Linked DNA regions of Canis lupus familiaris. The protein of the gene in region 1 purifies or fractionates together with the protein of each later gene. This does not show direct contact. Links are inferred from orthologs where the notes say so. Each region holds a gene or a part of one and is shown in the gene's direction. Other genes may lie near its edges.

What was found. Proteins that work in one complex are often made in the same cells at the same time.
Region 2: the proteins of EXOC1 (region 1) and EXOC6B purify together in Homo sapiens (affinity purification with mass spectrometry; 3 studies listed by BioGRID and IntAct, counting the BioPlex papers as one, with this or other methods). This does not show direct contact. The link is inferred for Canis lupus familiaris from reciprocal best matches to the Homo sapiens genes EXOC1 and EXOC6B.
Region 3: the proteins of EXOC1 (region 1) and EXOC8 purify together in Homo sapiens (affinity purification with mass spectrometry; 3 studies listed by BioGRID and IntAct, counting the BioPlex papers as one, with this or other methods). This does not show direct contact. The link is inferred for Canis lupus familiaris from reciprocal best matches to the Homo sapiens genes EXOC1 and EXOC8.

What each region holds. Positions count from the first base shown.
Region 1 is NC_049234.1:48,917,395-48,920,905, forward strand, and holds part of EXOC1 (exocyst complex component 1), read left to right. Parts: intron 1-595; coding exon 596-759; intron 760-1,546; coding exon 1,547-1,654; intron 1,655-3,082; coding exon 3,083-3,159; intron 3,160-3,511.
Region 2 is NC_049238.1:50,495,452-50,499,535, forward strand, and holds the start of EXOC6B (exocyst complex component 6B), read left to right. Parts: upstream 1-1,277; 5' UTR 1,278-1,419; coding exon 1,420-1,532; intron 1,533-1,764; exon of another isoform or gene 1,765-1,941; intron 1,942-1,983; exon of another isoform or gene 1,984-2,156; intron 2,157-4,084. UniProt on the Homo sapiens protein: Component of the exocyst complex involved in the docking of exocytic vesicles with fusion sites on the plasma membrane.
Region 3 is NC_049225.1:8,511,564-8,515,533, forward strand, and holds the start of EXOC8 (exocyst complex component 8), read left to right. Parts: upstream 1-1,163; 5' UTR 1,164-1,311; coding exon 1,312-3,495; 3' UTR 3,496-3,970. Other genes in the region: DNA-dependent metalloprotease SPRTN, read right to left, coding at 460-680. UniProt on the Homo sapiens protein: Component of the exocyst complex involved in the docking of exocytic vesicles with fusion sites on the plasma membrane.

The sequences.
Region 1 (3,511 bases):
AACAGAGCAGTAACAAAGCGGAGTTTCGGGGTTCTGGAATGTGTTAAGTTGAATCATAGTAATTGACTTTTTGTAGGGCAAGAATGATCGAGTACTAGCAGTTTTATATGGTTCAACCCAATATTTTCACTTAATGTGGAGGCAAGTAATATTGGAATATGGCTGTTTTCTTCAGAAATTAAAAAAAGTCATTAAAAAATTTAAAAAGTCACATTAGCTAGTACACTAAGGAGTCATTGGCCTTCATCTGTATTTATGTCTTTTGAGTAGGAAGGAAATCTTCCATCTACTTTAGTCTGGAAATATCAGGTGACTTTGATGGTACTGGGCCAGGTATAGATTATGAGACCCCTTTAGTCCTATTCTGTAGATCTGTGTAGTTTTCACTATTCTTTACAGTATGCTGAAGAATAGGGCACAAATGCTGATGAGAGAGCAGGACACTCTACAGCTCCCCCACCCCCACCCCATGCAGTAGACTTGTGCAATGACTGATATGAGCACTGAAGACGAAGACAGTAGAAGACAGCCCTCATTTACGCTATGGGTCTTTTGTCCATAAGGTCACAACTTTCAAAGTTCTATTATTTCTTAGGTCTTCATGGAAGTTCTGGGAAATTAACTGGATCTACTTCTAGTCTAAATAAACTCAGCGTTCAGAGTTCAGGGAATCGCAGATCTCAGTCATCTTCTTTGTTGGATATGGGAAACATGTCTGCCTCTGATCTCGATGTTGCCGACAGGACCAAATTTGATAAGGTAAAATAAAGGAACAAATATGTCTTAAATATTAACATTTGTTTTCTAATAGCAGTTATTGCTTTAAGTATGTTTGAGGATTTGGGCTTTGTTGACTCTATGAATTAACCATATCTTACTTTAGAATTCTGAATCTGAAAAAAATACTAGTCAGATGGCAACTGAATTGTGTGTTATCAATTCATTGATATAACAGCTTTATTAGAATTTATTATAAATCATTACATGAAAAAATGATTAAGTGCTTGCATCTCTAAGTTCTTTTTTTTTTTAATTTTTTTTTCAATTTTCATTTATTTATGATAGAGAGAGAGAGAGAGAGAGGCAGAGACATAGGCAGAGGGATAAGCAGGCTCCATGCACCGGGATGCCCGATGTGGGATTCGATCCCGGGTCTCCAGGATCGCGCCCTGGGCCAAAGGCAGGCGCCAAACCGCTGCGCCACCCAGGGATCCCCATCTCTAAGTTCTTTGAGCCAACTACAAAGTAAAGAGGAAATAACAGTTTTTATGAAGTTAAACTGTTCTCTGCAATGCATTAAGTTTAAAAAGTTTATCTCTGTGTTCCTCTTTGCAGATTTCAAGTGAATCATTATTGTGAGTTTTATTTTAGGTATGCCTGGCCCTGTTAAGCCTTGATACTTCTGCATCATCCTATCAATCTTGGAGTAGTTGCTTTTGGGATTCTATTGAGATTATAGATAAAGTATCTATGGTCCCTACAGAAAAGTGAATTAAATGTGGCAGTTTTTTAAGCATTTGATGCAGTTCATTTTTGTTTTCTTCAGATCTTTGAACAGGTACTAAGTGAACTAGAGCCCTTGTGTCTGGCAGAACAGGACTTCATAAGTAAATTTTTCAAACTACAGCAACATCAAAGTATGCCTGGAACTATGGTATGGCTCACATTTATTTATTGGCTAATATTTATGATCTGCAGTATAATTAGCCTAATTAATTTATTGTCACAATTTCAATATCAGAAGAGAAAAAAGAAAAAATTCACAGTGTAAGGATTTTTTTCAGTAGTTTTTATCATACCAGAAGATAATAAAAAAACAGTGATAGTTAGAGTTTGAGCATCAGATTTAATACTCCTCTAAATTAGTGAGGGGAAAATGTCTGAATTTACTTTGTAATAAATATTATTCAAAAAGCAATTTTAGCATAAAGAAAAAATATAATTGCCAAAAAGAAAAAAGATATTTCAGTGTATATACCATGGTCTAGCAAAAAAAAAAAAAAAAAGAAAGAAAAAGAAAGAAACAAGCCCCAAATCTGAATCTTTCCTATGTCTTTGTTACTAACTAGCTATGAGACTTTAAACCAATTATTTAATCCCTAGTTTTCCTTATCTGTACAATGAATATAATAATCCCTATTCAGCATGCCTCTCAGGTGGCACATATGTAAGAAATGAGAGACTGCTGCAATATTTTGAAAAACTTAAAAGCACAATGCAAATAAAGTGATTTTTTAAATTAAAGTCATCTTGGGATGCCTGGCTGGCTCAGTTGATAGAGCATTATGTCTCTTGATCTCGGGGCTATGAGTTTGAGCCCCATGTTGAGTGTAAAGCTTACTTGAAAAAAATATCAGGTCATCTTAAAAAAACAGAGTCAACATAAAAAAAGCAATCATAAAATGAATTTGCTGTTATAGATGATGATGGTAGTAAGTTGGCTTGTTAGCCTAAGAATTTTTTTTAAGACTTTATTTATTTATTATTTAACAGAGAGCACAAGCAGGGGGAGCACAGGCAGAGGGAGAGGGAGAAACAGACTCCCCACTGAGCAGAGGGCCCCTTGCCTTGTGGGGCTCCATCCCAGGATCCCGGGATCATGACCTCAGGCAAAGGTAGAGGCTTAACCAATTGAGCCACCCAGGTGCCCCTCTAAGGGTTTTTAATAGCATTTTTTTTAATGCCAGAGTTTTATTTGAATGATTAATGAGATTTCTTTAATTTTTAAAATTCTCTCTTAAAAGTTGTTTCTGGGTTTTTTTGAGCTACCTTCCCCCCATTCCCACAGCCCCTCAGAGCCTTCTGTAATTTCTCTGTCCACACTTTCCCTTCATGGGACACACAAGCCTATCTTCTCAGCCCACAATAATTCTCAGATAAAATCTAAGAACAAAACATTTTATAAACATTCTTAAACAACATACTAAATTATATAGTTTTATCAGTAATACTACCTTTAAAAATCATTATTTTTCATAATCTATTCTCTCCTAGGAATTTTAAGACTGAGCAGGCTTTTGCTATATAAACTAGTCAAATTGTTGGTCTTTTATTATGTAAAGTACCTGAATAATTTTTGCAGACTGAAGCAGAGGACCTCGATGGAGGACCATTTTCCCGGCAGCATAATGCTGGTGTGCCACTGCCTGTTTCATCTGAGTATGTATTTGTTACTATCCGTTGTTTATTTTGAAGGGAAGAAGGAGTACTGTTCACTGAGGAGCCAGATGATTCTGGTATTTCACAACACTCAGAACACTGACATGTCTGCCCAGTGCCTTAAAGGTCTGAGTTGAAATTCGTCCTGTTGTCTGACCCTTTAGCTCTTTTTTGCTGTAGTGATCACACACACACACACAAAAATGCAATCAATTTTAATGTTTGCTGGTAAGAAGTAGCATTTGAATTGCAGGATATTTCTCAGAAATTACAAAGCACATTTCAGGATCCAGCTTTACACATGATACAAAGTTATATTTTGAGTAATAAAACTTCAAAAAATATTTTTATG
Region 2 (4,084 bases), on another chromosome or scaffold:
AGTTTGGTACTTATATGCCTTTTTCTGTTGATGGCAAACCATTCACCCAGTCATTCTGCTCCAAACCTTGGAGTGATACCCAAGGTCCTCCAACTCAACATCTAGTAAGTCATGCCAATTCTGCTTTTTTCCATTTGTTCATTCTCTTTCATTCTCATTGCTACATCCCTGGTTTAGGCCTTAAAATTCTTAAAGTGTTCAGCCGTTTCCAAATTTTCTATCTCTGTGGACGTCGCACATTTGCCTTTCATTCCATTCATCGTATAATGTAAAAACTCAAGCAGTAATCAATAAATATGATTTAAAAATTCTAATCTGGGGAATTTATGAAATGCAAATGCCTGGATCAGAATGTCCAGATGGTGTAGGACCTTTAGTCTGTATTTAAAAAACGCATCCAAGTGCTTCTGATGCAGTCGGTTGTTGGACCGGTGGAACCATTAGAATAAAGCACAAATTTCCTCAGCCTGATATTTCTCTTTAGGGTACCTTTGCAGCTCCATCTTTTACTACTACTTCTCTACACGCCAGCGCATATGAAGTTTTTGTTGGCCTTCGTGAGGATCCTAACACCTTCCAATCACACCTTTTAAACTACCAGGCCCAGTCTTTCTATGAATATCTTCACAGCCAGAAGTGATCCCTGAACTCGATTCTCAGACCTGGCTCACAGCCACATTCTGTCTTACTCCTTAGTTTGGGGATTCTCCAGCTTTCTCTCCTTGGGAGCTTGTAAGATCGCTTTCTGCAGAAACCCAGTTTGCTGTGTCTTATTGTTCGCGTGCACAGAGCCTTGTTCACATCGTGGCAAGGGTCCTCTACAAGGATGTGCAGGATCAGTGCCATTGCCTGACTTGGTCACCGTTGCACATGCGGTGTCGTTAAATGTTCCCGGCTTCTAGTGGGGCTTTCTACGCGCATTTGTGGATTCAAAGAATCAAGAAGCAGGAGCAGGGGGAACATAAAAAATAGTGAAAGGGAATAAAGGGGAAAGGAGAAAAAATGAGTGGGAAATATCAGAGAGGGAGACGGAACACGAGAGACTCCTAACTCTGGGAAACGAACTAGGGGTGGGGGGAGGGGAGGTGGGCACTGAGGGGGGCACTTGACGGGATGAGCACTGGGTGTTATTCTATATGTTGGCAAGTTGAACACCGATACAAATAAATTTATTAAAAAAAAAAAAAAAAAAAAGAAGCAGGACCGCGTCGGTCACCGCCCAGGGAACTGCAAGTCCCAGCGGGCATTGCGCGGGACGTCGGCGGACGCGGTGACGCAAGGGGGCGTGGCGAGCCCGAGGGAGGGGTCGTCCTGCGGGCAGCCGGAGGCCGGGGAGGCTCTGGAGCCTAGGGCGAGAGAGGAGCGAGGAAGGTGAGCAGAAGCGAAGGAGGGGACGCGCTGCCCGGCGCCCCCCAGTCTATGGAGCGGGGTAAGATGGCGGAGGCGGAGAGCCTGGAGACAGCCGCGGAGCACGAGCGGATCCTGCGCGAGATCGAGAGCACTGACACGGCCTGCATCGGGCCCACCCTCAGGTACCCCGGGGACCCGGGCCACCGATGGGCGGGCACGGGCGGGACAGGGGCCGGGCCCCTTCGGGGTCGTGCGCCCGGCCGGCCGCTCGCGGGGCCAGCGCCGGCCCCGCCCTTCGGGGATCCCCGCGAGCCACCTCCCCGCTCGGCGAGGCGGGTCTCCGTCCACCGCCCGGACGTGGGGTCCCTCCTCAACCGCCGGCGCGCACAGCCCAGTTACTCCGCAGCCTCCTCTTGCCTTCGCCGGGCCGGGGCAGTCTTGGTTCTGCCTCCCAGGCTGGCGCGGAGCTGGGCGACTAGAGCGCGCCCCGCAGAGGGTAGCCCTCAGCGAATCCTGCCCCTGGGGACCTCGCCCTTCTCCGGCTCAGACCCCATCCTGCCCTAGACCAGAGTCCTGCTCTACGGACGAAACGTAAATTCACCCTCGGTCTGATGATCGGAAGTTAAACTCGTGCCTCCTGAAAATCACAGCCACTTCTCAGAAACGAGTTTCTGAAAATCTTAGGCCTGGAAGGAAGGAAGTTCCCCTCAACCCGCGCCCCTCTCCCGGGAGCGGGTACTTGCCGAAGCCCGTTAGGAGGACGACCTCTTCCAAAGGCGCAGCCTCATGTAGTCTCATCGTTGAGAGAAAGTATCACCCCTTCTGCCTGCCCCCCTCATACCATTACTTCCCCCTCCCCCTTATTTATCTATCTATCTATTTATTTATAGATTTTATATATTTATTCATGAGAGACCCAGAGAGAGAAGGGCAGAGACACAGGCAGAGGGAGAAGCGGGCTCCATCTGGGGAGCCCGGGGCGGGACTCGATCCCAGGACTCCAGGATCACGACCTGAGCCACAGGCAAGAGGCTCAAGCACTGGGCCATCCATGCGCCCCCCCTTCACCCCCATTTAGTTTGTAGATGTCAAAACAAACCTCCACTTTCTTCGACTTCATGCATTTATCAAAAACTTAGGCACCCCTTACTAGGAAATTGCAAGACATTGTGTTAAGCAATTGACAAATGGAACTTAAAAGGCAGAGTAGTCCTATTAGGTGGATGCTATTACTACCCTCAGTTTATAGATGAGGCACAGAGACTTTAAGTGATTTGCTCAAGGTCACAGAGAAAGTGGGGGAGTAGTGAGTCCTACTCAGGCTGTCTGGATCCACGGTCTTAATTTTTTTTTTTTTCATATTCTTTTATTGGAGTTTGGTTTGCCAACATAGAGGATAACACCCAGTGCTCATCCCGCCAAGTGCCCCCCTCAGTGCCCGTCACCCAGTCACCCCAATCCCCGCCCACCTCCCCTTCCACTACCGCTTGCTCCTCATAGTCTTAATTCTTAACCTCTGTTATGTCTCAATTGGTGATTATCATCTCTCTGTACTTCCTGTTAATTACTCACCAAATTCAATTTCAAACCACCTTTCCCTTTCCCCTCACTTTACTGAGGCCCTGAAACTAACTCATCTTCATCTTTCCTGTTGTACATCCTGATCTTCTTCATGCAGTCAGTAGATAGATAATTCTCCTACCTACCTTGTACAGTCTTGGCGGACTGTTCCTCCCTTAAAAAAGAAGTTATAAATCACTGCCTTTTTTTTTTTTTTTTTTTTTTCTTCCCATAGGGAGAGTTGCCTTATGAAAGAGTGTTTGAAGGAGGAGGAGGCGGAGACTTTACTCCTCATCTCCACTGCACATCTTTCTTCTCTGGGTCACCTTGTTAGCCTACTTCCCTCTGTACCTTCTCTGTCAAGACCATTCTAAGTAGTTTGCCTTTGTCCCTTATGGCACTGGGATCATGACTATCATATTCCTTTCTTTTTTCATTTTCTTGAGCTCTTAAGGATGAATGTTCCTTCTTTCATTATCTTTATTATTTTTTAAGATTTTAAAAATTTTATTTGAGAGAGGGAGAGCAGGAGTGGGAGGGAAGGGCAGAGGGACAAGCAGGCTCCCCGCTGAGCAGGGAGCCCAGATATGTGGTTGGGTCCCAGGACCCGGAGATCATGACCTGAGTTGAAGGCACACGTTTGATCTGCCTTGAGCCACCCAAGCACCCTTCATTATCTTTACTTTATAAAAACTACAGACTGCTTACTAGTATTCTAAGTGCAGTTCTAATGGTTATTGACATCGGTTTTTTTTTTTTTTTTTTTAAAGATTCTATTTATCTATTCATGAGAGAGGCATTTATCTATTCTCACAGAGAGAGGCAGAGATATTAGGCAGAAAGAGAAGCAGGCTCCATGCAGGGAACCTGCCGAGGGACTCGATCCTGAGCCAGAGGCAGATGCTCAACCGCTGAGCCACCCAGGTGTCCCAACATTGGGTTTTTATAGCACAAAATGTTACTGGAGTTACTGAGGATGCTGTTTCAGTATTTTACTAAGAAATTTGGCTACTGAGCTGCAGTTCGCAGCCAAGCAAAGTTCTCACTGGAGTAGTTGGGATTACCAGAGTTTTTAGGAAGGGTTCTTTATCAGAATACCCTCAATATTGTCTTGAGTTGGTTGTGGTTTTCAATTGCTGTCAGTCTTGGTTTATATTAATTTAGTGTTATCAGT
Region 3 (3,970 bases), on another chromosome or scaffold:
AAGATCCTTTCGGTCCAGAAATACGGAAACGTCAGCCCCGTCCCCCTCCTAACACCTGAGCTCACTACCAAGTGGTGACATCTCAAAGGGCACAGAAGAGGACAACACACATCTCTGGGAGGCTTCGCTGCCTCCTCGGCATTCTTTCTTAGGGGCTGACTCTGGGTGCTTCTCCCTCCTGGGTCAGAAACGTGTTAATTTATTTTCAAGTGAGGGGAGATCCAAAGACATCCTTTTCTCTCCCGGTGTCCTTTACAAATCAATCGGCTACCGGAATGGGCCACACAGCTAGCTTTCTTAAAGTTGTTGGAGAGGGAGGGAGACTAGGGGAGGGAGAGGGACAGCGAGAGGAGCTGCTGGTGTCCACCACGAGACCCCCAGGTTTCACGCCCCCCGGGACCGGGGGCTGCAGAGGAGCTGCCAGCCGCTCTCGCTTCCCCAGCGGGGCTCGGGACTCACAGGGTCATTCGCAGGCTCCACTTCACCTCGACGGCCTCCAGCTGGCCCCAGAAGAACCGATCGTTGAACTGCACAAACAGGGCCTGCAAGTCCGGGGTTGGGTCCACCAGCTCCCAGGACGCGTCCACCAGCGACAGGGGCGCCTGGGCCCGGTCGCGCTCCGATCCCTGCAAGTTCCACTCCTCCTGAAGCCGCAGTGCCAACACCAGATCCTCGTCCATCTCTGCCGGGATCCCAGGCGGCGTCCGAAGGCGTTAAGCAGGCTCCACGGATCCCAGGCTCCGAGAGCCTGGTCGAGCTCCTAAGAAGTACCGGCTCTCGGGCGGCTCTCGGGCCGGCCCGCCGATCTCGCGAGAACTCAGGAATAACTGGCTCTAGAACGAGAACTGAGTTTGCCCCAAACGCCGAGGCCAAGATTCTGGGGCTTAAAAAAGAGAACTCTGCAGGATACCTCCTAGTGGGCTCAAAACGGGGGCTCCCAGGGCCTGGACTCTAGGAAGGCGTCAGGAGACTGGCTACCGCCTTTACGCTCCGCCGCTCACTTCAAACACAAACGTCACGCCCGGCCCATGCGCAGTACCGCGTCTCGCCGCCTCGCCCTCCACTCTCTTCCGCAATAGCGCCTCCGGCGCATGGGCTCTAGGCCGCGGGCGCCCCTGCGCATGCGCGCTGCCTGCGCCCGGCCCCCTGCGCAGGCGCGGTGCCCGAAGCTCAGGCTCGGGCGCAGGCGTACTCGTCTCTCTTCCATCCTGCTTCCTCAGCCCCGGAGCTCGGCGGGGCTTGGGTGGGTCTCGACAGCGGCGGCACCGGCGGCGGCGGTAGTGACAGTGGCTTCGTGAGCCTCGGACGGAAATGGCGATGGCGATGTCGGACAGTGGGGCGAGCCGCCTGCGGCGGCAGCTGGAGTCGGGGGGCTTCGAGGCGCGGCTGTACGTGAAGCAGCTCTCGCAGCAGTCGGACGGCGACCGGGACTTGCAGGAGCACCGGCAGCGCATCCAGGCGCTGGCGGAGGAGACGGCGCAGAACCTGAAGCGCAACGTCTACCAGAACTACCGGCAGTTCATAGAGACGGCCCGCGAGATCTCCTACCTGGAGAGCGAGATGTATCAGCTCAGCCACCTGCTGACCGAGCAGAAGAGCAGCCTGGAGAGCATCCCGCTCACCCTGCTGCCGGCCGCCGCCGCCGCCGCCGCCGGGGCTGCCGCGGCCTCGGGCGGGGAGGAGGGAGGCGGCGGCGCGGGGGGCCGAGACCACCTGCGGGGCCAGGCTGGCTTTTTTCCCGCTCCCGGGGGCGCCTCCCGCGACAGTTCGGGTCCGGGCGAGGAAGGGAAGCAGCGCACCCTCACCACCTTGCTTGAGAAGGTGGAAGGCTGCAGGCACCTGCTGGAGACGCCGGGGCAGTACCTGGTGTACAACGGGGACCTGGTGGAATACGAGGCTGACCACATGGCGCAACTGCAGCGGGTGCACGGCTTTCTCATGAACGACTGCTTGCTGGTGGCCACCTGGCTGCCACAGCGGCGGGGGATGTATCGCTACAACGCCCTCTATCCCCTGGACGGTTTGGCCGTGGTCAATGTCAAGGACAACCCGCCCATGAAGGACATGTTCAAGCTGTTGATGTTTCCCGAGAGCCGTATTTTCCAGGCGGAGAATGCTAAAATCAAACGGGAGTGGCTGGAAGTGCTGGAGGAAACCAAGAGGGCCCTCAGTGAAAAGCGGCGAAGGGAGCAGGAAGAGGCAGCGGCCCCTCGCGGACCACCGCAGGTGACTTCCAAAGCCGGGAACCCATTTGAGGATGAGGAAGAGGACGAACCAGCTACTCCTGAGGTAGAAGAGGAGAAGGTGGATCTCTCAGTGGAGTGGATCCAGGAGTTGCCCGAAGACCTGGATGTCTGTATCGCGCAGAGGGACTTTGAAGGAGCCGTTGACCTGCTGGACAAATTGAACCACTACCTAGAAGATAAGCCCAGTCCACCTCCTGTTAAAGAACTAAGGGCCAAAGTGGATGAGCGGGTCCGACAGCTCACCGAGGTGCTAGTTTTCGAACTGTCCCCGGATCGTTCCCTGAGAGGCGGTCCCAAGGCGACTCGAAGGGCAGTTTCTCAACTCATCCGCCTTGGCCAGTGCACAAAGGCTTGTGAGCTGTTTTTGAGAAACAGGGCAGCAGCTGTGCATACTGCAATACGTCAGCTTCGTATCGAAGGCGCCACTTTACTCTACATTCATAAGCTCTGCCACGTGTTCTTTACCAGCCTTCTTGAGACTGCGAGGGAATTTGAGACGGATTTTGCAGGCACTGACAGCGGCTGCTACTCTGCCTTTGTGGTCTGGGCGAGATCAGCCATGGGCATGTTTGTGGATGCTTTTAGCAAGCAGGTGTTCGATAGTAAGGAGAGCCTCTCCACGGCGGCTGAGTGTGTAAAAGTGGCAAAGGAGCACTGTCAGCAACTGGGTGACATCGGACTGGACCTCACCTTCATCATCCATGCCCTTCTGGTGAAGGACATCCAAGGGGCCTTGCACAGTTACAAAGAAATCATAATCGAAGCCACTAAGCATCGCAACTCTGAGGAGATGTGGAGGAGGATGAACTTGATGACCCCAGAAGCCCTGGGCAAACTCAAAGAGGAGATGAAGAGTTGTGGGGTAAGAAACTTTGAGCAGTACACAGGAGATGACTGCTGGGTGAACCTGAGTTACACGGTGGTTGCCTTTACCAAACAGACCATGGGCTTCTTGGAAGAAGCGCTGAAGCTGTATTTCCCAGAGCTGCACATGGTGCTTTTGGAGAGCCTGGTGGAAATCATCCTGGTTGCTGTGCAGCATGTGGATTATAGCCTTCGGTGTGAGCAGGATCCGGAGAAAAAGGCTTTTATCAGACAGAATGCGTCCTTTCTGTATGAGACCGTCCTCCCTGTGGTGGAGAAAAGGTTTGAAGAAGGTGTGGGGAAACCCGCCAAGCAACTCCAGGACCTGAGAAATGCATCTAGACTTATTCGCGTGAACCCCGAAAGTACAACATCAGTGGTCTGATGCTTGGCTCTGTGTATATGTATACGTATATATTGCTTATATATTATTTATATTTATATTAAGTTGCATTAGGATACTCTTTATAGTCTTGAACACAGCTTAAAAGTAAAAGACACCCTCTCAAATAAAAATGCAGAATCAAAAGAAAAAAAGAAAGAAAAAGAGTTCAAATTAAGCCCAAATAACAAAACATTGGAATTATTAAAATATATGCTTCCTTTTTAAATTATGCTAACTCTCTAATGAATATATTGCCACACTATAGCATTTCAGTGTATCCTTTTGAGTCATAACACACTTTCTTACAGTATATATTAGGCAGCACAGAAAAATAATATAAGTATGTGGTGTTTAAGTATGTTGTGAAGTTTCCCCGTTCACTAAAATGTTAGGTATCTTTAAGAGTACAAGTGCCGTGCAAAACGACCTGCTTCATACACTCCCCCCGCCTTAAAATGTGATCAAACAATTTTGG